Saccharomyces cerevisiae S288C: one gene and its partners. The gene in region 1 interacts genetically with each later gene. Each region holds a gene or a part of one and is shown in the gene's direction. Other genes may lie near its edges. The genes, in order: TAM41, ADY3, YPQ2 and VBA5.

What was found.
Region 2: mutations in TAM41 (region 1) and ADY3 together harm fitness more than expected from each alone (negative genetic interaction), as found in Saccharomyces cerevisiae (one large-scale study listed by BioGRID).
Region 3: mutations in TAM41 (region 1) and YPQ2 together harm fitness more than expected from each alone (negative genetic interaction), as found in Saccharomyces cerevisiae (one large-scale study listed by BioGRID).
Region 4: mutations in TAM41 (region 1) and VBA5 together harm fitness more than expected from each alone (negative genetic interaction), as found in Saccharomyces cerevisiae (one large-scale study listed by BioGRID).

The regions. Positions count from the first base shown.
Region 1 is NC_001139.9:582,985-586,552, forward strand, and holds TAM41 (putative phosphatidate cytidylyltransferase), read left to right. Parts: upstream 1-1,910; coding exon 1,911-3,068; downstream 3,069-3,568. Other genes in the region: RME1 (Rme1p), read right to left, coding at 6-908; YGR045C (uncharacterized protein), read right to left, coding at 950-1,312; transcription factor TFIIIC subunit TFC4, read right to left, coding at 3,408-3,568. UniProt on the Saccharomyces cerevisiae protein: Catalyzes the formation of CDP-diacylglycerol (CDP-DAG) from phosphatidic acid (PA) in the mitochondrial inner membrane.
Region 2 is NC_001136.10:23,392-33,035, reverse strand, and holds ADY3 (Ady3p), read left to right. Parts: upstream 1-4,260; coding exon 4,261-6,633; downstream 6,634-9,644. Other genes in the region: PHO13 (4-nitrophenylphosphatase), read right to left, coding at 1-740; AIM6 (Aim6p), read right to left, coding at 1,207-2,379; GUD1 (guanine deaminase), read left to right, coding at 2,582-4,051; GTPase-activating protein LRG1, read right to left, coding at 7,160-9,644. UniProt on the Saccharomyces cerevisiae protein: Involved in the pathway that organizes the prospore membrane (PSM) during sporulation. Mediates the assembly of the DON1 ring structure at the leading edge of PSM during meiosis II.
Region 3 is NC_001136.10:1,177,679-1,185,558, forward strand, and holds YPQ2 (Ypq2p), read left to right. Parts: upstream 1-4,122; coding exon 4,123-5,076; downstream 5,077-7,880. Other genes in the region: ATP22 (Atp22p), read right to left, coding at 1-496; SBE2 (Sbe2p), read left to right, coding at 988-3,582; thioredoxin-disulfide reductase TRR1, read left to right, coding at 5,621-6,580; TRP4 (anthranilate phosphoribosyltransferase), read left to right, coding at 7,069-7,880. UniProt on the Saccharomyces cerevisiae protein: Amino acid transporter that moves arginine across the vacuolar membrane. Active during nitrogen starvation when it exports stored vacuolar arginine to the cytosol, for use as a nitrogen source.
Region 4 is NC_001143.9:655,962-664,630, reverse strand, and holds VBA5 (basic amino acid transporter), read left to right. Parts: upstream 1-4,166; coding exon 4,167-5,915; downstream 5,916-8,669. Other genes in the region: GEX2 (glutathione exchanger), read right to left, coding at 1,342-3,189; YKR104W (uncharacterized protein), read right to left, coding at 6,875-7,795; putative multidrug transporter NFT1, read right to left, coding at 7,895-8,669. UniProt on the Saccharomyces cerevisiae protein: Transporter required for vacuolar uptake of basic amino acids.

The DNA.
Region 1 (3,568 bases):
CTCAACTATTTGGTATTGTTCAAAATTTTCTTCAAACGCTTGTTAAATCTTGAATCAGCGTTGTTATGCACCATGGCCACATGTCTCTTATAGGCGTCTTTGCGCCTAAACGTTTTCTGACAGATAGGAAATGGGCAATTCAGTCCTGGATATTTTTCTACTTTTAGATTTAATGATTTCTCCATCTCTATATCAAGCTCTCCTATATGTTGGGAAGCACAATGTCTTCTCAGACCAGTTGCTTGTTGGAAACCCAATATTTTCCAGGGACATTGCTCTATGGGACACTTACACGGTCTTTCAAGGTTGAATTCGTCTAAGTGCGCGGCAAACTCAACTAACGTTGCGAACTTTTCAGAACAATGAGAACAGTGGTAACTTCCTCTTTTTGTTTGCCCTTCGGAAATTGTGCTGAGTACTTTGGGGTCGTGATATAGCTGTGCCACGTGCGATTTTTGGGGATAGCCTAGAATACACTGTGAATGGGATTGTTCTGTTGTATTGCTCTCAATAAATACAGGATTTGCTCCTTTTTGACGTCCATAATTAATAAGATCTCTGAACTCCGGATCAACTAATGACGTGATACAGTGTGTACTGTCCGCTATTTCATCCGGCCGTAATTGAGGTGCTGTACCTTCCTCAGTAGACGACGTAGAGTCATAAGCCTGTCTCTGATTTCCGGCTATAACTGTGATTGTGTTTTCTAATGATAGTAGTAAACAGTCCTCAGTGCTGGAAGGCAGGCTGGAAGGCAGGCTGGAATCCCCCTCTAAGGGTGATGCCGAATATTCTTTCATGTTTTGCCCGAAATCGTGCCAATGATAAATCGGTTGCACCTCTTGTAAAACCTCTCTGTTCCAAGACCCCTTGGCGATGGCACTGTTTTGTCCATAACACGGTGACATAAGTGCTGAAAATCCCAACTTCTAGTAAAGAATTAACAAATTCAACTGTATGACTTATAGGATAAGAACAATGTCAGTTCCAATGCGTTGACACAGTAGAAAATATATTTACTAAGAAGCAGCTTCGTCGTTGGTATAGTTTCGGTTGATCTAGATATAAATATAACTACAAATAAATGGCAGGAAAAATTGAAGCAAATGACACAGGACATATCTATCACATTGCTCCCTTTAATTTCCTCGAAGGCACTCTGGCCTTTGTTCTCTGCATAAGAAAAAGCCAGCAGAAAATACGGTGATATATTTAATACATGCCCGGCCACTTTTCTGCTGGTAAAGCCCACCGGAAAAGTTCGGATTTTCTTATCCAGTATACGCCGACCTTTTGATGTAATCTGTGACATCTCACTCCGGCGGCCATTTTACGTGACGAAGCATCCCTTACAACAGAAAGAAGAAAAAAGATATGCCGCTTTGCGGTTTCTTTCTGGCAATGTATGCACTCATAATGCTACTCGTTTACCCACTATCCCTGTCCAAACTAAAGAGGGAGGAAAGCACTTTTTGCATTTACACATCGTAGATTATAAAATGATCGTTAACAGGCGCTTGTGATTTTGAATTTAAGAAATGTGGACTAGAGAAGTCTTAAATCGCCAATGCTGTACCAGACTCTCTATAGCATCTAAACACGAAATTCAACTGTTATCTTAGTTTTTCACTTACCAGTAGCGCGCTTGTTATTCCCACGTTATTATTTGCCCCCACATCATAGGTCAAGTGACCTTCTCTTACCCGACATGAATAAAGAAAAGAAAAGAAATCATACCCTTCAGCCTGTTTAGCCATAAATAGTAAAGAGTAGATGTTTCGACGGACTAAATAATGTGAAAAAGGTTCTAAAACCTTCAAAACAATTAAACTTGAGAAACGTTGCTATAGGATTGAGCTAATAATTTGAATTAATAGGAGCTGCTTTTTACTTTGATATATCCTGAAGTTATGTTACGAGTTTCTGAAAATGGTCTACGGTTTCTGCTGAAATGCCATTCAACGAACGTAAGCATGTTTAATAGGCTTCTGAGTACTCAAATAAAGGAGGGGAGAAGTTCCATAGATGATGCTGGCATTATCCCCGATGGAACTATTAACGAAAGGCCGAATCACTACATCGAGGGAATTACTAAAGGCAGTGATCTGGACCTCTTGGAAAAAGGTATAAGAAAAACTGACGAAATGACTTCCAATTTTACAAATTATATGTACAAGTTTCACAGATTGCCCCCCAACTATGGAAGTAACCAGCTCATTACTATCGATAAGGAACTTCAAAAGGAACTGGATGGGGTAATGTCATCCTTCAAAGCTCCGTGCCGGTTTGTATTTGGTTACGGCTCAGGAGTTTTCGAACAAGCGGGATATTCCAAAAGTCATAGCAAACCTCAAATCGATATAATCTTGGGCGTCACATATCCATCACATTTTCACTCTATTAATATGAGGCAGAATCCGCAACATTATTCAAGTTTGAAATACTTCGGTTCCGAGTTCGTGTCTAAATTTCAACAGATCGGCGCAGGCGTATATTTTAATCCATTTGCAAATATAAATGGACACGACGTAAAATATGGGGTGGTTTCTATGGAAACACTTTTAAAGGACATAGCTACTTGGAATACATTCTATTTAGCAGGACGACTACAAAAGCCTGTAAAAATATTGAAGAATGATTTGAGAGTGCAATATTGGAACCAATTAAACTTAAAAGCTGCAGCTACTTTGGCCAAACATTACACCTTAGAGAAAAATAACAATAAGTTTGACGAATTCCAATTTTACAAGGAGATCACTGCCTTAAGTTATGCAGGTGATATTAGATACAAACTGGGTGGAGAAAATCCCGACAAAGTTAACAACATTGTTACCAAAAACTTTGAAAGATTTCAAGAGTATTACAAGCCGATTTACAAAGAAGTGGTCCTAAATGATTCATTTTATCTTCCAAAAGGGTTCACATTAAAGAATACTCAGAGACTTTTGCTCAGCCGTATTAGTAAATCAAGTGCATTACAAACTATTAAAGGTGTTTTCACAGCTGGAATCACAAAGTCAATTAAGTATGCTTGGGCCAAAAAACTAAAATCGATGAGGAGAAGCTAGTGTATCCAATGTTATCTACACATTATCTTTTATCAAAAATGTTTTATCGTCCTTTCATCTCTTTCGAAGAATCGCTCTATTCACATTCCAAATCTCTGGCGTCGGTCAATATTTATTCATCTTTATTTTTACCTTCTTCTAGATAATATACATTATCCCATATTGGCATTCAAACTGACTTACTTGCATTATGGAAGGGGGATCATACGTTCCAGTATATGCAATGGATGTCGTACTTACGAACACATTGTAGCATTTGAAGGGGTATTTCTATATATTTCTATTATTAAGGGTTATATTACAATTATACTTTATAGTTTAAAATATTTAAACAAGTTCTCAAATACTTAAATACTTCTCCATGAGGTGGTCGGCCAACTCAACATTTCCGCTTTGCTGATATATTATAATACTGTTATAGGCAGCATGTTTTTTCAACTTTCCATCATCGTAGTTTTCTAGAACTCTATTATAGTACTCAATTGCAATCGATACCAGAC
Region 2 (9,644 bases), on another chromosome or scaffold:
GATCTATCCAGGTTGAATGCCGATATAATGCTGTTTAGCATATTTTGATTTGGCTTACCACAGTACGATGGCCTCCTATTAGATGAGAATGCCAATGATTCAATCATGGAGCCTGCACCGGGAAATGTATAACCCTTTTGCGGGAAAGTAGAATCAACATTTGTACCAACAAAGTGAACAGAATCCTTCTGCAAATACTGCAGTGTAACAGCCAAACGGTGGTAATTTACCTTCGTGTCTAACCCAGCAATAACACAACTAACATCCTTATCAAGGCCGTTCACCAAAAATGGTGATTTAGCTGCATCGAACGGCGTATCCAATCTGGAATCGGCACCTCCTAGAGATTCGTACCCCATTAGTTTCAATTCTTCACCAATACCGCTTTCTCCAAATACCCATACCTTATCTTTGCCAGGCTGCAATTTCAGAAAGTCACGAATATAAACAGCTGACGCATAACCAGAGGTGAAAATCTGTTCTTCTTTGACATCAATACCAAACGAAGCAAACTTTTTCGTGTATGCTAAACGGGACTTGGTAGAGTTATTCGTAACGAAGATCAGTTGTTTGCCCAATTGCTTCAAAAGGTTTAGAATTTCCAGGGTGTATGGTAATGCTTGAGAACCTAACCATAATACACCATCACAATCGAACAGAAACGTGTCATATTTGTCCAAGAATTCTTGAGCAATCTCCTTATTGGTTATCTTTATTGGTACACCTTGTTGAGCAGTCATTTTCCCGAGTTGTATATTCTTTGTCAGGGCAAGCTATAAGGCTTTTTTTGTGATTTGGCTCGAGCTTGATATTTATGTCTGCTTGTTATAAACCGATTGCGTCAATTACAATTGAAAAATTCACTAAAACGGAAAGAACATTCACCGAAAAAAAGAAAAACCGGAAAGTTAATAGATAAGGGACGTCATTAATATACGATTAAGTAAATACTGAAAACGTGCTGGAGAATAGTAAAGATGTCACATCACCATCTTCAACGTCTTCCTCTACAAAACTTGAGTTGATAAAGAAGCATAGTATACACAAACGTATGTATCTCTTCAGAGAACTATATCCTGTGAGGGAAGATGAGACCATTCCCCATTATACTTCTTGAACGGGTAGTTGCGTCGAACAATCTACTTCCTATTCATATCTAAATGTTTATATAAATATATGGCTTTTCTTATCCACAGCTCAAGCCACTTATATCAATGACGATGCCATGAATAAATTGTCCAGGTTAAGTAAATCGGAACCCAAGTCATGAATAATTTGGCGAGAAATAGTTTCCACCAGGTTAGCTGGCCAGGTTGGGGCTCCCCAAATTCTTGTTTTAAGTTTCAATGCGTGAGCACCATCAATTATGCTTTTAGCACAACTGATCTCATTCGAATCCATACGACCTCTTAGCGATACTTTCCAATGATCAGAACCACAATGTTTCATTAATTGGCTGAACGAAACCGTCGCAGCTACAGATAGCTTTGAGTATTTGGGCTCCAAACTTAACAACGGCGCATCTAGAAATGCAAACCTTTGACTTGACTCAAAATAGCCGTTATCATTTCCATTGTCTAAAATATCCAATGACGTCGGGTAGTTGCCCGTTAGTATCACAGTAACAGGTCTCCAAATAATTTCATCCTTCTTCATATCGTAATATGTCAAATATCCAGAATCAATCAGAGATTTGAAATATTGCTCCATCAGCAGTTTATAAGTTAGTTCGTTATCATCCGACTTGAAATCAATATAAAAGAAGAGTGAAGTTTCTGGAGAGTTGAAAAATACACCATTTTTGCGATCGGCGTCTGAATCTTGGCAATTCACCTCGTCTAAAATCTCCAAGAGGGGGCCAGTGTATAGCTTGTCTAATGTCAATTCAACTGGGTCCAAATACGCTTCATTATGACCCACAGCTAGGATCTTTTCATCTATATTCCACACGTCGGCTTCAGTACTACTAGCACCATAGGCCAGACCTTCAAAAAGCGGAAGTTTCCTCCAGTAGTCATTATGGGAGTGAACTGGCATTGGGTTAACATCTTTGTTCAACTTTGCGATAGCAGAGTCTACTGGTAAACACTTTTTTGAACTGGCACGACGTAAGATATATTCTTTGAATACATCATAATATAAAGAAACGTGTTTGTGACGATACTTTTCCTCTGAAAAACTTAGAAATGGCAAGTTTTCCTGGAAAAATTCTAAAAGATGTTGACCGGTCAACCCAAAGTTATCAATATTCGATATTTTCTGGTCCTTTAACTTTTCCCAATCAGTTAATGAAGGATTTCTTCCCCTACTGGAAAACAAAGCACAGACAGCAATAACGTATCCAATAAGAATAGTTAGACACCCTTTCAGTCCTAACATCGCTTAACTAAACCGAGGTACTTATCTTTGTTGGTCTTATCTCGAGTCATATTTTATGCCTATCCGGCGATTTATCACTCGGAAGTTTGGATAGTTTCGGATTATAAAAGGAGACAAGATAAGGATTTTAAAACAGGCCATTGGCAAAAGAACAACATTTTATTGAATGAATATATGAATTGGGCTGTCCTTTGAAGAGGATATGACAAAAAGTGATTTATTATTTGATAAATTCAACGACAAACATGGAAAGTTTCTAGTTTTTTTTGGTACCTTTGTAGATACCCCTAAATTAGGAGAGCTGAGAATCAGAGAGAAAACATCTGTTGGAGTTCTCAACGGAATCATCAGGTTTGTGAACAGAAATTCACTCGATCCTGTCAAAGATTGTTTAGATCACGATAGTAGCTTATCACCAGAGGATGTCACGGTGGTTGACATAATTGGAAAAGACAAGACTCGAAATAACAGCTTTTATTTTCCAGGTTTTGTTGACACGCATAACCATGTCTCGCAATATCCAAATGTCGGCGTATTTGGGAATTCTACCCTGCTGGATTGGCTAGAGAAGTATACCTTCCCCATAGAAGCCGCACTAGCAAACGAAAATATTGCGAGAGAAGTTTACAATAAGGTAATAAGTAAGACGCTTTCTCACGGTACAACGACTGTGGCTTACTATAATACCATTGATCTCAAGTCCACTAAGCTCTTGGCTCAACTAAGCTCCTTATTGGGGCAGCGTGTTCTTGTTGGAAAAGTGTGCATGGATACCAATGGTCCCGAGTATTATATTGAAGATACTAAAACTTCCTTTGAAAGCACTGTGAAAGTTGTTAAGTACATACGGGAAACCATTTGTGATCCCCTCGTAAATCCTATAGTGACACCAAGGTTCGCGCCCTCTTGTTCTAGAGAACTAATGCAACAGTTGTCCAAGCTAGTCAAGGATGAAAACATACACGTTCAAACCCACTTGTCGGAAAATAAGGAGGAGATACAGTGGGTTCAAGATTTATTTCCCGAATGTGAGAGCTATACTGATGTATACGACAAATATGGGCTGCTCACAGAAAAAACAGTATTGGCACATTGTATTCATCTAACAGATGCCGAAGCGCGTGTGATTAAACAGCGTCGCTGTGGTATATCTCATTGTCCCATTTCCAACTCCTCTCTGACTTCTGGAGAGTGTAGGGTTCGATGGTTGCTGGACCAGGGCATAAAGGTTGGTCTAGGCACCGACGTTTCAGCCGGTCATTCTTGTAGCATACTCACCACCGGAAGGCAGGCCTTTGCAGTTTCAAGGCATTTGGCAATGAGAGAAACTGATCATGCAAAACTTTCAGTCTCCGAGTGCCTATTTCTTGCTACAATGGGCGGAGCACAAGTCTTGCGTATGGATGAGACCTTGGGGACTTTTGACGTCGGTAAGCAGTTTGACGCTCAAATGATCGATACCAATGCTCCCGGCTCAAACGTGGATATGTTTCATTGGCAGCTAAAGGAGAAGGATCAAATGCAAGAGCAAGAGCAAGAGCAAGGGCAAGACCCTTATAAGAACCCACCGCTGCTTACTAATGAAGACATAATCGCAAAATGGTTCTTTAACGGTGATGATCGCAACACCACTAAAGTTTGGGTAGCCGGCCAGCAAGTCTACCAGATTTAGTTGTATATGTTTAGAGGGCTACTATATCTTGTTCCAAGTATTAATGAGTAATTTGAGTATATGTACAAATTTCTTTTGCGTATCGCGCTTTAGCCGCCCATTGTACAATATTAAGATTAGGAACACAAAGAGATTTGCCAGTGAAAGAATTGCAAAACTCGGTTTGGGATTTTGAATGGGATAGTTGAATACAACAAACTTCTCCGAATATGAATCATTGGTTAGCATTTTTGAATAAGCCTGAATCCCTAAAGGAACAAAACTCGGATTGCGACCAGCAGGGGGAGATGAGACATGTTACTGATGGCACTTTAACTAAGTCTCCAGAAAGTAAACCTTTTCGAGAGCGGCGTTCACAAACTTGGATAGACTCTGAAGTACCTACGTCCACTGAAAAATCTAATGTGCAGGAAAGTATTTCTTCTGATATTATATCAAAACTGTCGAATAGGCGTTCCCGAAGAAACCGCTCAGAGAGTTGGGCAGGTTCAGAAGCCTCTTCACCTTCTGGTAACATTAGTACATTGGAAAATGCTACGGAAAAAAATACTTTAAAATCGCCTAATAAATTTCTACAAAGGGGTGGTTTACCAACTGTAGGAATAGGCTCGCAGGCTCTGTCACCTGCAGGAAAGCCCAGTACATTAGGAAATGTAAGCCCTGGTAAATTTACCACATACAAAGTACACAATAGTATTGAAGTGAATAGATTTTCTTCTACACCTACAAAGCTCCTCACGAATCCCCACAAAGTCGCAGCAATCTCAAATGATGAGCATTATGTTGTAAGCAATGAGAGTCTGGAGGAGAATATAGAGGTTGCGCATCTAGAGAACGTATTTCGCTCATCTAAAACTCCAGATGAAGAACAGTCCGAATATATGAAATTAGGAGAAATTAGGCTATCTTCTTCATCATATGGAGGAAGTATTTCTAAAGAAAATAGTTTACCCAAGGTATTAGATGAGCTCCAGTCCCAAAATGAAGAGATCAAAGCACTAAGACAAAAACTAGAAGAGAAGGATGACAGGATTCAAGAACTAGAAGAACTTAATAGCATGAATGATGCTAAACTTCAAAGAATAGAAGACTTGCAGAAGGAATTCCACAACGAAAGAAAAGCTGCATCAAAAAGGCTCAACATTGTTCAGGACCGGTTTCGCAAAGAAATTAAAAAAATTAGAGAAGAAAAAATTACAGACTTTCAAAACAAAAACGCTAGCAAGAAGGAGAAGAATGAAGTGACTAGTGCCAAAACTAAATGTAAAGCTTTTTCTCAAAGAAATATTTTAGTTTCGGAACTATACAGGAAGCAAAAACAAATCCTAAACTTGCAGCAAGAAAATGATAAATTTCTAAAAGATATTAACGAATCGAATAACTCTATAGTAAAATTAAGATCTGAAGTTGAAATACTGAAAAGCAATTTGCAACTTTCTCAAGATGAAAATAAAAAATTACATGATAATGGTTCGTTTTACGAGAAAAGGTTAAATGATGTTTACAGCTATATGCAAAATCTTTCTCTTTTTGAGAAAGACCTTGGTAAATTCATACTAGAAGAAATGAAATGTGGCCATTCCCCTTCGATGTTTCAAAACGGTTTTGCCAAGCTTTATCCGGATTTTCAAGATATCAAAAATCTTGAAAATATGGAGCAATACAAACAATTAAAAGGAAAGATAGAACTTTTGGAAAAGAATGACCGTATACGTCTTGAAAAAATCATTTCTGTCTTTAAATTGATTAATGAAAGATTACATTTTATGCAACAGCAGCACAGTCACAAAATAAAATATCTTCAAAAAGAGGCGTTAACAAAAGAACAACAATTTCGTTTGGAAAAAAGGAGATGGCATGATATCCTGAACCTCAAGGAAGAAAACTTTCAAAAACTGAAGAGCGAGTTAAAAGAAAAATTAATACTAAGTGAAAAAATTCAGAAAAATGCCGAAGATAAATTGAACGATTACATGAATGAACACCAGGAAATTGTTGAGAAACTTCAGAATCAGGCTTTGATTGCTTCAAGATGGAGCACTCAAATTCAAGAGTCAGAAAACACACATAAGAAAATTACTGACGAGTTAGCTGGAAAACAAAGTGAAATATTAAAACTCGAAGAAACAATTCTATCACTAAAAGAAGATGTATTCCAAGAGAAGCTGAATTTAAAAAAACTATATGGTGATCCTTCTACCGAACTTAATTTTGAAACTGTTGGAAAATCTTTTCCACATATAACGAAGGAAAAGTACGACTCCTTGGGTCTTGATATTCTGACAGACCTTACCTATGTGCAATCGCAAAATCTAATCAAAAATTTATTAATTGTGTTGGATATCCCATTAAAAACCTTCTTAAAAATTGTACCAACAATTGTCATTCAACTTAGATGTGAGCTTACACTTCTCACAAAATTTGCTAATGATTTGAACCTTAAGGTTTTTGGTAAACAGTTAGATTTCAAAAGTAGAAGAAAGGTCGCAATGAATGAGTTTTTGAACAATCATGATATTGCTGAAGTAAAGCATCCTCTTGAGTATGATTTGCAAGCGTTGTTTAAATATTTCTTTTCTTAGCTTTTTTTTTTTTATTTAGAACTAATATATTCAATGGTGTCATTAATTATTATTTAGAGAATAAGTTACTGGTGGGGGGTGCACCTAAAATAAAGTCACATAATATAGAGCATGGCAGATATTTTACCGCTGGTATTGCTTTTCCGAAATTTTGGTGGAATATTCTTCTGAAAGATTTCAATTTGCTAACAGACTTCTTAAGCACTTACAAGAACAATGTAACTTCTGATCTGCTGTTGGAGATGTTCTGAGATATAAACAAAATTTACATCAAAAGGCGAGTAATACAATGATACAAATGATTATAAGTACATACTAATGTTACAATTTCTAATTCCATTTTAGTCAGAATATACTATGTTGTATAATAATAAAATAATGTCCATTTCCATAGCATACTGGTAAGATTTTATTGAAATAGGCAAAGAAAAAAGCAAAGAACTCTAATAAGAACGACAAACCTCGAAATCTGAGGGGAAGGAGAAGAAAAAAAGGAAAATGAGGGGAAACTTACAGTTTCTGCCTATTATTTGTTTATTTCACCTTGTATGACCGTTGTGGTCGAATCTTTGACTGTGACAGGAGTTTTTATGTCACATTCGGAATAATCGATTGTTTTACTTTGCATAACGGTGGAAATAAAATGGTTGATTGATTCGTAGTTATCTAATTTTTGTAACTGCACATCTTTTAAAAGATTCATTAAAAATTTCGGAACCATTGCCATTTCTTCATTGTGAGTAATCAGGTAATCAACTATCTCAATAGCCAAAAAGTAATTTTCTCCCTTGTTTTGAGCGAATGAATCAACTAAACCTGATTCTGGTTCGTCAGGGACGTTATCATTGGAAATTTCTTTATGTCGCAAATATAAAATATTAGGTGTTATGACTGTGGATAAATTGTGAATGTCCATTTTTGATCCCATTTCATTCTCAATGTAAGAGAATGAGGACGTCCAATGCAAAAATGACAAAAGTGCCTCCAGTAAATTGCGATTGTAAGTGGGTAATAAGGAATATATTAGCAATATAACACGCTGTTTCTCATCCTCTAAATCAATTTTCGCGGCCTTAATCCATAGTTCATATAAGTCTGTCGATAAAATCGGTTGGGGAAGCTCTCTGATAAATTTCTTCAAAAGAGCAGATAATTGGATTGCATTTTCTTTCGAGAAGTCTGGAGCTTCTGTTGGATTACTGTCGATGTTAGCAGTTAGTTCTCTCAGTCTTCTGATATTTCCATTTTTCCTGAAAATACCTTCTACTGACATATCCATTTGCCTCAAAGATGATATTAGCTCGTCAATAATTATGGGGATCCTAATCTTCACTGGCCCCACACCTAAATCGGAATCAACACCCCATTTCTCGCACAACACATCTAAAGGAGCACCAAAAACAGTCTTAGTGATGGGCTTTTTAGGCTCCATGCTCATCATGATTTTCATTCTGTTCCAAAAGCTACCTGTGACTTGCTTTTCATTCGAGAAGACCATTGAGACTAAGCTAGTATAGTTAGGATCAGTCTTCGATATCAGTTGTTTACCAGCTAGCAGTGACAAACTGATAGCCCTTATCATCGAGAGTTCCATCGTACTTAATTCAGAGTAATAAACTCCGCTTTTCTTGGGAACAACATTCGAAGTTTCGTCATCGGTTTCTTTTAGTTTTTTAAAGTGTGCAAAAGCGTTAGGTCTTAGCTCCCTTGCTTGTTCAGCGGCAACAATACGTGAAATATCATCTAGTGTCAACGTCTTAGTATTACTGAAAACATTTTCACGTGTGCTCACTTGTTGGCTCGATGATGGGTCATCTGTTTGAATCACAAGATTTTTACTATCTCCTTGTTTTGTCGGGTCATTTAAATCTGTCTCTGCAGTTTCCAGTATCACTGATTTTCTAGCTTGTTGTTTGTTATGAGTGACCCGAACACTTTCTCTTCTAGATCTCAATCTTTTAATATCATTCAGTGTCCTAATGTAAGTTTGTTCCTTTAGCATAGTACTCTGTAAAGAGTTTCTGCCTACCTTGTTAGATGCTTTCGATTTCAACATTACAGTTCTTGATTTGACTAGGGCAATTTTTAGAAGAAAAATTAGTTGTGCTAGCTTAGTAACAAATTTGAAACCCGGCACAGAGGCCGGATCATCAATTGAGCAGTGAGAACATAGTATCTTTTTTTTCTCTTTATTAAAGGTGGGATCCGTCAAACTCCTCGGATTTATATTCTTATGGCATGAAGAACAAGTAAAACAAGCAATATGCCACCGGTGCTCATAAAATTGAATGCATTCCTCCTGTATGTATTTATTGCATCCAGCGCAACTATCTGTGGCGTTAACAGGAGTCTTTATATACTGAAACGGGTTATTTTCAAAAAGCTCATTTTTCTCTACTTCTCTTAAAAACCTCAACAATGGATTAACAGAATGAGTCAACTTATTGTTTTCTAGAGCCGTATATAGCCCAAATCTTGTTAACAGTTTTAGAAAATGGGCTAATCCAGTAATAACAGACATAAAAGATGAAATTGTGATAGTTTCGTTTTTGTTTTCTGTCCCTAACTTTCTTAAGAGTTGTAAATATATCATAATTTTTGTGGACAGATTTTTGGGAAACTTGCTGTATTTACTGGCCGCCATTGCGTTGTTTTCAATGCATTCTTGATCACTGTTAACTGGCATACTTTTGTTCGTCGAGAGGTTTAAAGTATCCAGTCCCCGGAAAAGACAGTCGATTTTTAGTACCAACAGACCCGTAGACTCTATGCCCTTTAACTGATCATTGCTTGTCAAATATTGAAACATATCAGAAATGCAAGAAGCTGCCTCTTCCTCAAAACGATATAAAACCGACCACGTTTTAGATAGAATAAAGTTAAACGCCTGCATTTGTTTATCTAACTCGTAGGCAGTTGGGTTTATATCTTTGTCTCCGGAATTTGGGTTATATTCCAGCTTGGGAAGGTACTGCAAACCAACAGTTTCTGCTGCTAAATTTACATGCCAA
Region 3 (7,880 bases), on another chromosome or scaffold:
CTGATTTTGGAATATGATACCAGAACCATCTGTGGACCTCACCTGGTAGATAAAATCCAATTTTTCTTGCCACCTCTGGGTATAACTCGTGTTGATGCAAAATGATATCATATAAAAGTTTCTTCTTTTCATTTTCTGAGCAATTATTTATATGCAGGGCATTTCGTAGAGATTCAAAAAAAGAGGCGTATTCAGTTACTCCAAAAGTCTCACTTAATACAGTTTTCAATTGTCGGAGCTCGTATAAACGCTTCTGAACATTTTTCGAAGATCCGCTCTTCCTAGAACATGGCACCTGTCGTTCAAAATCGCCAAACTGCAAAGGTTCTGAACGATTTGATTTAATTTTCAATGGACAGTTTTTCGTAGATAAATGGCGCAGATTTGTAATAGGTAGAATTGTGTATGTCCCTGCGCTACCCATATGTTTAAACAGCGGTGAAGTGACCATTTGAGCCAAAGGCTGGGAATAGACACGGCATATACATTTTAACATGCCAATAAGAACATTAAAGTGAACGCTTGGAAGATTTGAAAGCCCATTCTTGCCAGTACGCCAATAAAGTGTGTCGCGCAGAATAGATCTTCATGTAATTCCTTTTTCCCTTTTATGCAATCTATAATGTTAATCAGCGTAGATCACTATATACGCTTTTTTTTTTTTTTTTCAGCTCCGATTAGAGAGCAAAAGAGATGTAACATCGATCCTGCTATAATTAGAATACAAGTGTTGATCTTTAATTGTACTGTTTCTGCGAAAGCTATCGAGCATTTGGCTGTATTCCACTGTCCATTGTATTTTTAACTCTCCTTTTTATCATTCTGAAACATAGAGCTGTTTTGACAAAATTCAGTTTTTTCTCAATTAGTGCTTTCATTCATACGTTCGTTACAAGCTTTGAATTTTAACTTTATTTTCGGGCTTCCACCTTTGCTTCATTATTTTACTTCAGCTCTTTAGCTTTCTGTGACATTCAATTTTATTGTATGACAGCACGTCGTTTGATTAATATAGTTCCTAATACGTCTAAGCTAGACCCTTTAAAGGAGGAGGACTCAACGCATCTGAAACAAAATCAACCTAAGAAGTTTTCCACAAAGGAGTTGATGCTTTCAGAATATACCGAACGCAAAAGTTGCAGCCTTCCGTTGTCTAAATCCCGATCAGGCAGTAGTGCATCCAGTAGCACTACAGGTTCGAACGGAAAGAATATTGGAACAAGACGCCCTAGCTCCAACCTAGATTTCAATTTCGCTAGCCAAGATGTTGTTAAAAATGTATTAGGTAATAATAATCCACACGTACCCACAGCGAAGTGCATTAGGCCAATATCAGATGATTCTATAGGTACATCGAGCACAGAGATATTTTCTTCATCGCACTCAAATACGACATCTGATTCTTTATGTACATCAGATATAAGCTCAGAAGAGGGTGAAATAGCAAACAGTAAGATGGAGGATAACTGCTTCTTCAAAAGTATGAGAGAAGCTGACCATAGAAGCAATATTACGCCCTTAAAGAAAAGCCGACCGGGATCAATACTACAGAAAACACGTACAGCAAGTAGCGCTGATAAAACAATCTGCTCAATGAGTACCATAACTACATGCATTCCATCTCGTCAAAATTCGGTGTCAACTCCTAAACTCTCCAGGACAGTAGGGCTGCCTGGATCGAGCAATACAACCAACAGTATAGCCGCATCACAAACTTCATTCATAAGCGAGAATGACTCTCCTCTTAAACATCATTGCATGAGTACCGCAACTATCCAAGAACCAAAACTCATGCCGATCACAAAAACGCCGTATGTGCATTCCAATAGTACTTCTGTAATATTACCATATAAAACAACCCAACTTACTCCTTCTCAACGTTACCGTTTAAGGAAAGAGCAAAATGACCAATCTTTGCGTAAAGCCATAAAAATGAAAGAAAAATTTTATGAAGATCAAGACGTTAACTTGGAACTTCAAGAGGGCGATGTCGACGGCTCGTTAATTTGGAACATTCCAATGGCATCTTTATCGACCAGTTCTTTTTTAACATTATCTAAGTTTAATAGAAAAGAAATGAGTTTAGATTCAGCGCGGGGGGATGAAGAGATATTAATACAGGAGAACAATTGCGAAGGCAAACAACACTCATCTTCGGCTCTCTGTGTGGACAAAACTTTCCATCAGGTTCATAGTACTAGAAAACATACATCAAATTCAAGTAACACTTTAAAAGAATCATGTCTGGACTATAAGGAGCTTCCGCCAACATGCATTCCTGGTATATCTCCTGTGTCTGATTCACAGTACATCCAGGATACAATGAAAAATCTCTCCCAAATATACCTGCATAGTTCCGAAAAAATCTCCAAAAGTATTCTTTCTGGTCGTTCAAGATCTGTACAGAGTTTACCACTGGAATTTAAAGAAGCCAGTAGTCAGGGAATGGAAGACCTAATGCTAGTTTCAGAGGACAAACTAAAGGCCGTAAGTCATTTCCGTCCGAGTTGGCTCCCGCCCAAGGATTTCAAAGAGAGGAAATTGCAAGATAAACAAATCTACAAAAATATCGACTTAGCATCAATGGAAGAGTTGCAAAAAAATAAAGAACGTGACGAAAAAGCCAAAAAGAATGAGCAGAATAAGGTCAAATTCCAGCATTTACTGGACCGAGGCATTACTCGTAACTCGTCATTAAGTGAATTAAAGAAAATTATTTGGGAAACACCTTTGATATCTAAAGTACGGCTTCAAATATATAGTCAACTTCTACAAAGTGACAATTGCTTGATAACAAAATGTTTTATTGAATCATTTGAGGAAGTAATGCAGCTACTCAACAAAATGGATTTTCCCAAAGATAAAGAATTTGAAATAAGACAGCTTATTGAACACGATGTACAGGAAAAGGTTTTTTATAAAAATGGAACAGATAAGCAAGTGGTTTCTGACTTGATGCTATTACTGCAACTGAAATCTATATCTCAACAAGGTTTGGTTACTGGTGATGAGATGCTATTCTACCATTTTTTAACTGATCAATCTTTTGGGACTTTGAAGGAAACATGGGAAATGGTCAACTTGATACAGATGACGTGCTTCAGTGAAATTTGCAAGGAAAAATACGATTCAAGAATATTAAATCCCAGAGGAATTGTTGCCCATCTTTTACGAAAAGATGAGTTCAAAAATGAATTCAATGGCGGATGTTTGAATAGCAATACATGGTGGAACATATTGCAAAGAATGGACCATAAACTTTTTATGTGGGTAATGGATGTAATTATCGTTCATAATGGCCAAAACTTTGCAAACTACCCCGTAAAAATGGAAATATTCAAAGACAAAGTATGGGAATACTATAGATCTAAGAAGGTTATTGTAAATTATAAGATTTTGGTTTCACTAACAGTTAACGTATTGTTAAACTACCACTTCGGATATGATAATCTGAAACATTTATCAGATTTGGATGATAAGCATTTTTGTATTCCACTGTATACGGAGGATAGTATCGAAGAGGAAAACCTCAATAATATTTTCACAAAGTGGTGGTTGCACTACTACCGAAAATTACGTTAGCGTGTATGTGGCACGTACTAAAAGTTTGGTGACCAGACTATCTCTTCTTAAGTTCATTTTCACTCTGAAACTTATAAATGCATACATACAGAAATTACTTTCGATTAATATAATAATATATTTTTAATAAACAATGAACTAATGCCCTTATTGTGTTTTGTTATTAACCTTTTCATCACCATTTTTTTTTGCTAGCTTCTACGGCATTCACTTACGTGCTGCAAAATTTCGCAGCATGGAAGAAATTGTTCGCGAAGAAAAAAGATTTCGCTCAGTGATTTGTAGTGACAATAGGTACCAGTGTTATCACTAAGTATATCTTTTAGTATATCTCTTCGCTTGAGGAGGGATCAAAAAAAAACAAACGTAAACGTGCACATAAACGTCAAGTACTTTTTGCAGGCATTAATATTCGTCTCCAACAAAGACAAATAAAGAAGCAATCTTTTCATTACCTTAAGCCAGTATCTATTGATATCAATCGATAAGGTTCGTTGTTATCGGTGCTAAAAATTATAAAGTGAAAATAAGAATCTTTTCATGTCGTGCTCAAACGGCATCTGGCCTACTGTATCTAATTTGTGCGGATCATTATCCTTCTTCACCTCTGTTATTTCATTGTTTCCACAAATAATTGAGACTTATCGAGATAAATCTGTCGATGGGCTATCGCCATATTTTTTGCTGGCTTGGTTATGTGGGGATATTACCTCGCTGATAGGGGCAAAGCTAACAGGGCAATTGTTATTTCAGATACTTTTAGCAATTTATTTTCTATTGAATGATTCTTTTGTATGTGGTCAATATTATTACTATGGCGTGCTGCATGAAAATAAATTGGCGACTGTCGGCCATGAGCCTAAACCTCTTCTTCCCGAACTGGTTGAAAATGGTGAGCTTTTGAGGGAGGAAGAGGACATGATACAAGGTGGTAGCAGTGCAGAAAGCCCTAGAAGCAGTAGAAGAAGGTCTGCCATTACAGCAGCCTTGGCTATAGCTCATACTATAAGTACAGCTAGCGCATATCCGCTAAATGTAGGCTCCACCCAATCACAAGTGGGGCCTCCCGGAGATGGTAAAAACAGCCAGCTGGGTACAATTTTATCTTGGATTGGCGCTTCCTTCTACGTAGGCGCACGTATCCCACAACTAATCAAGAATTACAATAGAAAGTCTACAGACGGCTTATCTCCCTTCCTATTTGCTACTACACTACTCTGCAATATCACGTATAATTTGAGCATCTTCACAAGCTGTAGATTTTTAGATAATCAGAACAAGAGGGAATTCATCGTGAATGAGTTGCCCTTTATATTTGGAAGTGCTGGAACAATTGCGTTTGATTTGATATACTTCTACCAATACTATATCCTTTATGCAACTGATATGCAACTACGTGAACTGGAAAGAGAACTATACAGTCCTGAAGAAGACAGTGCAGCGCAACTAGTGACAGAACGTACATCACTGTTGTCTGGTGAAACGCAAACATAGTTTTCCCTACGGAGTACTACCATTTATATTTAAACAATGCACTCTGCTCTTGGGATAGTCCTTGCGAGACCCTTTTTTCCCAATAGGAATACTACGTTCGTACTCTGTGTAAAAGTACCCAACTATAGTTAGCGCCAGTTTTACGTAAAACCGTCTATGTCTTGTTTGCATTCGCAACAGCTACAAACACATATAGTTTGTCACACTAATATTAATAATGAAAGTTATTATGTATTCACTGTGAACGCTTCAGTATACAGTACGGCAGTAAGTGTTTCATTCTGTTCTGGATTAATAATCTTTCACTTTGCCTAGCCATTTGGGGGCGGGTTTTGGCTGGGTTAGCTTCTCCTTAGTCATGGAGAAAAAAAATCGCCCGCAAGTATCTCGAAAAAGGAAAAAATGCCCACGCGTATAAGAGTGGACCCAACTGCTCGAGGTTTCAAGAGCTTGTAGATTAATTTCTGTAGTTCAGTTATACTTGCCTACAAGTGCTATACAGCAAATAGCGAACAGTACGAAAGTAAACATCATATTATCAATAATGGTTCACAACAAAGTTACTATCATTGGTTCAGGTCCAGCTGCACACACCGCCGCCATCTATTTGGCCAGGGCAGAAATCAAGCCAATCCTATATGAAGGTATGATGGCGAACGGTATTGCTGCCGGTGGCCAGCTAACCACCACTACAGAAATCGAAAACTTCCCAGGTTTCCCAGATGGTCTAACAGGTAGCGAACTGATGGACAGAATGAGAGAACAATCCACGAAGTTTGGCACTGAAATTATCACGGAAACAGTTTCCAAAGTTGATCTGTCTTCCAAACCATTCAAGCTATGGACCGAATTTAACGAAGACGCAGAACCTGTGACGACTGACGCTATAATCTTGGCCACAGGCGCTTCTGCTAAGAGAATGCATTTGCCGGGCGAGGAAACCTACTGGCAAAAAGGTATTTCTGCCTGTGCCGTGTGTGATGGTGCCGTCCCCATTTTCAGAAACAAGCCATTGGCCGTCATTGGTGGTGGTGACTCTGCATGTGAAGAAGCTCAGTTCTTGACCAAGTACGGCTCAAAAGTGTTTATGCTTGTCAGAAAAGACCATTTGCGTGCTTCTACCATTATGCAAAAGCGTGCTGAGAAGAACGAAAAAATTGAAATCCTTTACAACACTGTTGCGCTAGAAGCTAAGGGGGATGGTAAATTATTGAATGCCTTGAGGATTAAGAACACTAAAAAGAATGAAGAAACCGATTTGCCAGTCAGCGGTTTATTTTATGCAATTGGCCACACTCCAGCAACAAAGATTGTCGCTGGCCAAGTCGACACTGATGAAGCGGGCTACATTAAAACTGTCCCAGGCAGCTCATTAACCTCCGTTCCAGGATTTTTCGCTGCTGGTGATGTTCAGGATTCTAAATACAGACAAGCTATTACTTCTGCTGGCTCTGGTTGTATGGCCGCTTTGGATGCTGAGAAATACTTAACTTCCCTAGAATAGATGAATTTTCCATTATAAAATAGATACACTCAAATTTTTGTATACTTATCCAACAAATCGTTACTTTCTCCTTTTCTTTAATAAAAAGCAAACCATGAATTTTATTTCTTTTCCCCATTATTAGAGAAAGCCAATACATAATCTACATATATTGCGTGTCTGAATTAAACTTTTTAGACACATGACATAGGCCATCGGCTTACTTTGTAACGCGTGGTTGCCTATACACCGACTATTAAGTTATGACTAATATTATTGCTGCGCTTCCCCACCTGCATTTTTCTTGTCGTCTTTGCCAAAAGGAAAAAAAAACCTACGCAGATTGACTCTCTAAAAAATGATTCATGACCAGACAATTCAGTAAACATAAACTCTGTTGCATTCATTCTTCTGGAAAACTTTATAATAAAGCATCTGATATTACAGCTACTGACAACTAAGTGAATTTAAACTGCAATAATCACAAGAAAACTTAGTATTCCCTTATCATGTCCGAGGCGACTTTGCTATCTTACACCAAGAAATTATTGGCTTCTCCGCCGCAATTGAGTAGCACAGACCTACACGATGCGTTGCTGGTTATATTAAGTCTTTTGCAAAAATGTGATACAAATAGCGATGAGAGTCTTTCCATCTATACCAAAGTTTCGAGTTTTCTCACGGCCTTGAGAGTTACTAAACTTGATCACAAGGCTGAATACATTGCGGAAGCTGCAAAGGCTGTGCTCAGACATTCCGACCTTGTTGATCTACCTTTACCCAAGAAGGACGAATTACACCCGGAAGATGGACCAGTAATCTTAGATATTGTAGGTACTGGTGGTGACGGACAGAATACTTTTAATGTTTCCACGTCTGCTGCTATCGTTGCCTCCGGAATTCAGGGCCTAAAAATTTGTAAGCACGGTGGTAAAGCTTCTACATCCAATAGTGGAGCTGGTGACCTAATTGGAACTTTAGGCTGTGACATGTTCAAGGTTAATTCATCGACAGTGCCCAAACTTTGGCCTGATAATACGTTCATGTTTCTACTTGCTCCTTTTTTTCATCATGGAATGGGCCACGTTTCTAAGATACGCAAATTTCTTGGAATTCCGACTGTTTTCAACGTACTGGGACCACTTCTACATCCAGTTAGCCACGTAAACAAGAGAATATTGGGCGTTTACTCAAAGGAACTTGCGCCTGAATATGCCAAGGCAGCCGCTTTGGTATATCCAGGAAGCGAAACTTTTATAGTTTGGGGACATGTTGGGTTAGACGAAGTATCACCTATAGGCAAAACTACTGTCTGGCATAT
Region 4 (8,669 bases), on another chromosome or scaffold:
GATTCTTTGCTTATGATATACTGGTGCTCGAGGATGATGAGAGGACACAACTTTTTGAGGCTTATCGTTATCGTCTGAGTCACAACAACATACATTAACTGTCCACGATTCAGGGATGTGCTATGAGTTCAACTTTCGCTGTAGTGCTGCCATTGGCGCTGCTACTGGTGTCTGGAAAAACTCCACAGCTTTCAATGGAGATGTGACTGCACGAGTGAGACATTATCTGTATTAGCTTCACAACCATACTCTGTTAGTAAGGAGCCATAGTCGACATCTGTCAACAATCCTAGGAGTTCCAGCTCAATCGGGTATGATATTATCTCTGATATCCCCAAAATACATGGCTGTATCATTTAAAATAAGTGATATATTGAAGAACAGTATATTTCAGCCTGTACAGGATCCTACTCTTTCAACAAAAATGATTTCATCAAAATTAAATCACGCTGCAACATTGGTGAAGAATCTCAAAAGGTTAGTAACGTCAATATATCGCGGAGGTAGCTATCATTGTGGCAGCTAATTTAAAGGATATACAGTTAATTCAACAAGATTTTCAAGTCCATTTCTTTTGGGCACGCTGAACACGCTCAATGTAGTACTTGTTTTGGAAATCACTCGCAGCAAGTTTAATGGGACGAATTATATCAGTAATGTGTAAATTCCGACACAATGTTCGGTTAGTAGATTTACTGCTGGATTATTGGGTTCACCCGTAGACTGTTGCCGACTCCAAGAAAACTATGATCTCAATACAGGCATAAAGAATTGTTGTATCTGTGCCCATGTGATCTGTACCTTTTTTGCGGTACCAAAATCGCATGTTGCACTCACACTACGGAACACATCAACTTGTAACGACAACAATACAAAATACCAGGAGACATATCACTTTTTTTCGCTTAGAATGATTTACAATGGCATACACTTAGAAAAGTGCTATGACATGACGCCCTTACTAGAAGTTACATGATATTCTTTTTTTTCTTTCTTTCTTTCTTTTTCGGTACAACATAATTAATGCATTCATACAGAGCGCATTTCCAGCATCATTTATTGGATAGTAACTCCTCCCGCACTTTTAATATCAATGACGCTGACTCTTTTACTGACGCTGAGTCTTTACCGACGCTGAGTTTTTACCGACGCTTGTGAAAATAAAAAGTACGACACAGCTATATGCGTCGCAAGTTCAAATGTGGGTCTATCGAGCATGTTTATCCTATCCTGTTATGTCATTTTTATCGGAAGTAATAAAAATGTAGAAATCACTTGTTTTTGCCTTTTTTGTGATTTTGCTTTCATTTTTTTTTTGCCCTTTTTTCACCAGCTTGGGGATCAACATCCTGATTTCTTGTTACTTCGATTATGTCTAAAAAGTGCCTTGATTTGAGAGAAAATATTTTCCTCATCTGGCAAGACAACCAAACCATCTTCAGTGAATTCTTCGTGTGTCGCCTTGTCTATTAGTTCCGGGTTTCTCATGAACATTGTAAACGTAAAGAACGGTACCGTACATGCCAAGCCAACCGTCATTATTATTCGTTGAACATATCTGTAAGATTCAACCACAGCATCTCTTTCCGGTGAGCCCCAAGGATAATCACTAATGAATGTATAAGGTGATGCATATGCTATTTCTGCCAATGTATCGTTTCCAAGGTTCTTGTAGAGTTGGTTAGGCATGGTTTGTGTCCATATGGCACCAGAAACGGAGGCACCGATAGCAGCGCCTAGCTTTGAAAAGGTATACTGAATGCCGGTTATTACAGCCATCCTACTATGCGTAGTCATGGCTTGCAGTATGACGATCACTGAATTGCTGCATAGGAGACCGCTCAAACCCATGATAACAGATGCAGCGATAACACCTTCATGAGACCCAGATCCTCCTCTGTATTTGTAAAAAAGGCCCATGCACACCATCCATGCAGCACAACCTCCGATTACAGAAAGTTTCAGTTTCCTTGTCTTTGCCACCAACAAACTGTAGAATGGAGATGCAGTAGCAGCAACAAAGTCAGGAAGGTTTACTATCCGAGCAGCCGAAGTGGACGATTCTTTCATCGATACCAGCAAAACAGGATACAGATAGTCGCACGAAATGAAAAAGGTGAAAAAATTGAAAAAAGTAACACCAAGGGGTGCCCAAATTCCACGATCACTTAGTAATTTGAACGGTAGAAGAGGAGATTTGGCAAATTTGGCCTCCCAATATAAAAAAATGAAAAATAAACAGCCACCTGAAACTAAAGTGGCAATTATTTTTGAATTGTGCCACTTTTGTGATGTCTCATTAGCCAACGTCAAAGGAACAAGAATACACCCTAGCGACACAGTTATTAATAATATGCCAACAATATCGAGTTTCCAGAATAGAAACACCAAATTCTCAAATAATCCGCCCGTTCTTTCCTTTCTAGCCTGTTCTTTGAGAGATCTCCACTCAGCAGTCTTTGAAGATTTGTACTTCATATAAAGAATAAGAAATATAATTGGCAAGGTAGAGAGTGGGTAAATAAAAGCCCACATTGCAATATTCCAGGACCAGTTTTTCTGAGGATTTGCTGCTGTGATAATATTGCCTGAAATCCATGGTATTATGATATATGGCCAATATGAGGCGTACTGGTAAAACATTCTCCATTTCAAGGAGGAGAAATCTGAGAGTATTAATGTCAGGAGCAGATTTGTTCCGACGTATCCACAGTTATAGAAAACCGATCCTGCTGCATACATGGTGAGACGGGTCGCCTGTGATTGAATGATGGTTCCCATTATATAAAAAATAGTTGCAACTAAAAAAAGCCTTAGTCTTCCGAAGTGGTCAGAGAGTCTAGAGTAGACAACTTGGGATCCGACACTCACAACAGCATTGATAACTTGGACAGTTGAAAGTAAGGAGTGTTCTGAATATGAGTTCGTTGCATAGCCCGTATAGGTCGATCTAAGTGTGTAGTCTAAACTAATTCCAAACCCACATACAAACGCGGTACTTATCAGTAGAATTTTATATTTCAAGGAATCAAACTGTGCAGACATAATTTCGTTTTCTTTGAGCTTAAAAAAGGTCGATGTCATAGAGTACGTGTCATCGTTTGAGTGACGTTCTCGCTCAATAATCTCACAGGACTGCCTAATTCCACTTTTTTTATTACTTGAGGCACCAACAACACTAGAACTCATCCGATAATTTATTTACTTGATTATTCTTTTTTTTTTTTTTCTCGTTCCAGTCCATAAAACTATTTTACTTTTCTTATTTATGTAAATAGTATTTAAGATTCTACGGTCGCTACATCTGCTAGAAATGGAATTACTTTAATACATTCCATGTTCTCATATATATTTTACTGACACATTTTGTCACTATTTTTTTTTTAACTTTTTTTTGGAAGTACTAAAATTATATGCTCGTAATTATTGAGTATCAAAAAAAAATAAAAAAAATTGCTGTGACGCCCCTTCAATGTGGTGTCTATACACCTGGTGACTTTAACTTTAACTTTGACCTGTCGTCGTACAATCAACTTACTTTCCGAAAATCCACAACGAACCAGTTATACCGAAGACTTTTGTACGACAAGAATACTGTACCGTCGAAACTATCTCTTTTCAAACTAATGAGTGAAGCTTGTGTTTATGTCTGTTGAAACAAGGAAAAAAATGCGGTGCCTGTCGACAGGATATGAGCACAAGTGCAAAATCATCAAAAAATTGAGTACCTAGATCCGGTGGTGTAGGACGAGCAAAGTTCCTTCATAAACAAACCGTAAGGGTTACTGATACACAATTTCCTTTGTGTAAAGAGTATTTGAGCAAATTAGTCGGCGATTGAAAGCAACACCCTTTTTTCTATATATAGTAGGTGAAAGTTAACATGCGAGTAAAAGTAGTGCCACATTTCCTTTGCAGCAGGTGCAAATTAGTACATATTTAACAGATAGCGCCGCACCTCATATGCAGCGCGTACATGATACGAGTCGACAAAATATGCAAAAGATAATAGTGTCATCACACCTTTATGAGAAGCGAATTTTTTTTTTTTTTGGTTTAAATATATATATACATATATATAGATGTATTCTAGTTATACTCATACCTAGAACTGATCAGACCAGATCATACCTGGTATAGAGCTTAATCGATAGAAATTCAAAAATATGGAGGAAACTAAGTACTCTTCGCAGCAGGAGATAGAAGGAGCATGTGGTTCAGACGCTTCATTGAATGCTAGAGGTAGCAATGATTCTCCAATGGGACTTTCCTTGTACCTCTGCCTGGCTTCGTTAACTCTTGTACTATTCATAACTGCACTGGATATTTTGATAGTGGGAACTATTATTGACGTGGTCGCAGAACAGTTCGGAAACTACTCCAAAACAGGTTGGCTCGTTACAGGCTACAGTTTACCAAATGCTATTCTGAGTCTCATTTGGGGAAGATTCGCATCTATCATAGGTTTCCAGCATAGTCTCATTTTAGCAATACTTATTTTTGAAGCCGGATCCCTAATTGCTGCCCTTGCCTCTTCAATGAATATGCTCATTTTCGGTAGAGTTGTTGCTGGTGTTGGGGGAAGCGGACTCCAAACGCTTTGCTTTGTTATTGGTTGTACGATGGTTGGTGAAAGGTCACGTCCATTGGTGATTTCCATCCTAAGTTGTGCATTTGCTGTAGCTGCTATCGTTGGTCCTATAATCGGAGGTGCCTTTACAACCCATGTTACCTGGAGGTGGTGCTTCTATATCAATCTTCCTATCGGTGGTCTTGCCATTATTATGTTTTTACTCACCTATAAGGCCGAGAATAAGGGTATACTTCAACAAATTAAAGATGCTATAGGAACAATCTCGAGCTTTACTTTTAGTAAGTTCAGACACCAAGTTAATTTTAAAAGACTTATGAATGGCATAATCTTCAAGTTTGACTTCTTTGGTTTTGCCCTCTGCTCTGCAGGGCTGGTCCTTTTCCTACTGGGGCTAACCTTTGGTGGTAATAAATATAGTTGGAACTCTGGCCAAGTCATCACATATTTGGTTTTGGGTGTCTTACTTTTTATTTTTTCATTGGTGTACGATTTCTTCCTATTCGATAAATTCAACCCGGAACCTGATAATATATCCTACAGGCCTCTCCTTCTAAGAAGATTGGTAGCAAAACCAGCCATAATAATAGTAAACATGGTAACATTTCTATTATGTACCGGTTACAATGGGCAAATGATATACTCTGTCCAGTTTTTCCAACTTATATTTGCGTCGAGTGCATGGAAAGCCGGTCTTCACTTGATACCAATCGTTATTACCAACGTTATTGCGGCCATTGCAAGTGGTGTGATTACCAAAAAGCTCGGTTTAGTTAAACCACTCTTAATATTTGGAGGCGTTCTTGGGGTAATTGGAGCAGGGCTTATGACACTTATGACAAATACGTCCACGAAGTCAACTCAAATTGGTGTTTTGCTATTACCGGGGTTTTCCCTTGGATTTGCTCTACAAGCATCGCTCATGAGTGCACAGCTTCAAATTACCAAAGATCGTCCAGAAGCTGCTATGGACTTTATTGAAGTAACAGCTTTCAATACATTCATGAAGTCATTAGGTACAACTCTTGGTGGTGTGCTTTCAACCACTGTTTTTTCCGCCTCCTTTCACAATAAAGTATCACGAGCTCATCTAGAGCCTTACGAAGGAAAAACGGTTGATGACATGATTTTGTATCGTCTTCAAAACTACGACGGTTCTCATTCGACTATTGGAAACATTTTAAGCGACTCCATTAAGAACGTATTTTGGATGGATCTAGGGTTTTATGCCTTAGGATTTTTGTTTTGTAGTTTTTCATCCAATAAGAAATTAATCATACCAAAAAAGGACGATACACCAGAAGATAATTTAGAAGACAAGTAGCGCAGTTATTTTCTTATTTTCATTTTATTTTTTTTCGCCTTTTATACAGACTTCAACACAATCAGAATCAAATAGGTGTATCGCAATGGAATGTAATTTCTTAAGTATTCTATATGTACTTAAAACCTATTAATATATGGATCAGTAGTTCATAAAATTCATGCTGGTGCGTTCAAAGATGTGTCTTTAGTAAGAAATCTGGAAAATTCGCGAGCCTGAATATACTCATCGCAGTGCAAGAAAAAGGTTGTCTTCTTTTCTTTTCTTGACAAAAATGCAGCGATAACCTGTAAAGAGAATCTCAAATAGACACATGATAGCAGCTGCGTAATAACAGACCTCAACCGCAATCACATTAAAGGCGTAAGCAAATTTGGCCAGCAAAATTTTCGTTTGTTCCTCGACATAAATTCTCATCAGAAAAACTGTTTACTGTCAGTGCTTTTGTCTTTGCCGCCAATACGGCAGAGAATTACATAGTATACTACGATAAACTTCTATAAATTTAAATATAGATAAAAATAGCACGATATGAACCACGGTACTCTCCAATAGTATACTTGCGATAAAATCAGCAGCTAAGTACTGAATAAGCATTTAAATTATGGTATTTTTTTTTTGCTCCTGCTGAATATTCGGGATTCTTAACGAGAGAGTTTCTTTTGTGATGATATAATATTATTTTCTAGTATAAGTAAAACTATCAAAAAAAAGTAATAATAACGTAGCTTGTTTATATACCATAAAATGTACCAGCAAAATTTTGTTTGGCACAGACAGGTTCAAAGGAGTTATTTCTTAAAGTTCTCAAAAAAAGTAGTGGATTAGGACATATAGCCCTGAAAAGTTAAAAGCGACTTCCTGAATGCCTTCTAATTACACACAAATATATGACGTAAGCAGATCGTATACTTCGTAGCTAGAACTGGAATGAATAAAAATAGGAAATTCTAGTTGTCTTATCTTTTATTATCGAATGAGACTTTAGCCAACTCGAAAAGGTTTTCGAACTCGCCACTCTGCCTACAGAGGCGGTAAAAAATGGTATTTCGATCAGATATTAGAGTGTATGGATGATCATACTCCTTGACTCTGCCCATTTCCATCACCAGAATTTTGTCATAATCTATTACTGACCTTAATCGATGAGCAATAGTCAAAATTGTTGTATTTTTCATTGTTTCTCTTATAGTTTTCTGAATTTTAGCATCAGAAATATAATCTATTGAGGCGGTTGCTTCGTCAATTAGCATTATATTACGTGCACCAAGCATGGATCGTGCCAAGCACAAAAGTTGTCTTTGCCCTTGAGATAAGTTTGAACCACCTGATTTCACAACAGTATTCAAATCAATGAATCTATTTCTTAGTTTATGACTAGAAAAATTAGGCTGCTCTTGCTCAAAAATCAAGCACAATTCATCGCATTCTTCAATTAATCCCACTTTGGATAGTACGCCATAAATTTGTACATCAGAATACCGATCGAAAGGATCTAAATTAGATCGAACAGTTCCATCAAATAAAGTAGGATCCTGTGGGATGCAGCTTATAGAATTTCTTAAACGCTCTAAAGGGATATGTTTTATGTCTTTGTTATCAATAGTAATCGTACCGTTTTCCCAGTCTGAAAGCCGGTAAATAGCCGCTATAATAGAAGATTTCCCAGCCCCTGTTCTACCAACAATACCAACTTTTGTTCCTGCTTTTACCTTGAATGATACATTATCTAGTGCCTTAGAGGAATGAGGAGAATAGCGCAATGATAAGTTTTTTAGTTCAACATCTCCTGTTTGAGGCCAATTAGCTGGAGGTGATATGTAGCCGTTTGATTCGGAAGGTATATCTGTATATTCTTTTATTCTCTCTACTGAACTCATCAAAAGTTCAACGCTTGAAAATACTTTTATGATCCATTGAGCAGTTTCAGTAAAGGAAAAGGCATTCGATAACAGTATCCCCGCTAGCCCCGCATCCAACTATGAGGCCTTCATTATGATCATTACAGAAGAACTAAAAAGAACAAGTGTCCCAATTATATCCACTCTATATGTGATCCACTCGGTGGCCATATTGAGATAAAAAAATGGAGCATTACTTCTGTCAATTGCAACCAAAGATTGAGTGATAAACCTACGCTCATCTGCTAATGCTCTAATTGTAGTTACTCCTTTGATGGCTTCAGCGAATAACTGGTGTATTGGAGAGATATTGATGTTATCTATTCTCTTCAACTCTCTAGATGCACGAAGATATAACGTACATACGGTATAATAAAGAGCGCATAAAGGAATAGCAAATAACAGAAATTGAGGAGTAACATATCCAATTAAAAGTATAATCCACAGACAAACAACGACGCTATAAGAGAGTCCTTCGAAATTAGGGATCAATTGTTGATCAATAATATCCATATCCTTGCTAAATCTGTTCATTATTCTTCCAGTCGGCGTGACATTATGAAAACGTAACTTGGCATATAAGATACTGGATAGAAGCTTCGCAAATATTTTCTTGGTGACGTTGGTACCTGAAATTATTGCTATCCAAACTTTACCAGAAGTTAAAAATGAAGAAACAAGACCTATGATAATATAAGTCAGTAAGAAATAGATGTTAGAGTGACCCTCAACTATTCTATAAAGCCAGGTAGACTTACTCCCTGAAGATCCAGTGTCCAGCCAGTATCTGAGCCAAAAGCCCTGAGACAGTGTGATTCCATGAATAAGGATGGAGGACGAGGTGAAAACAAAA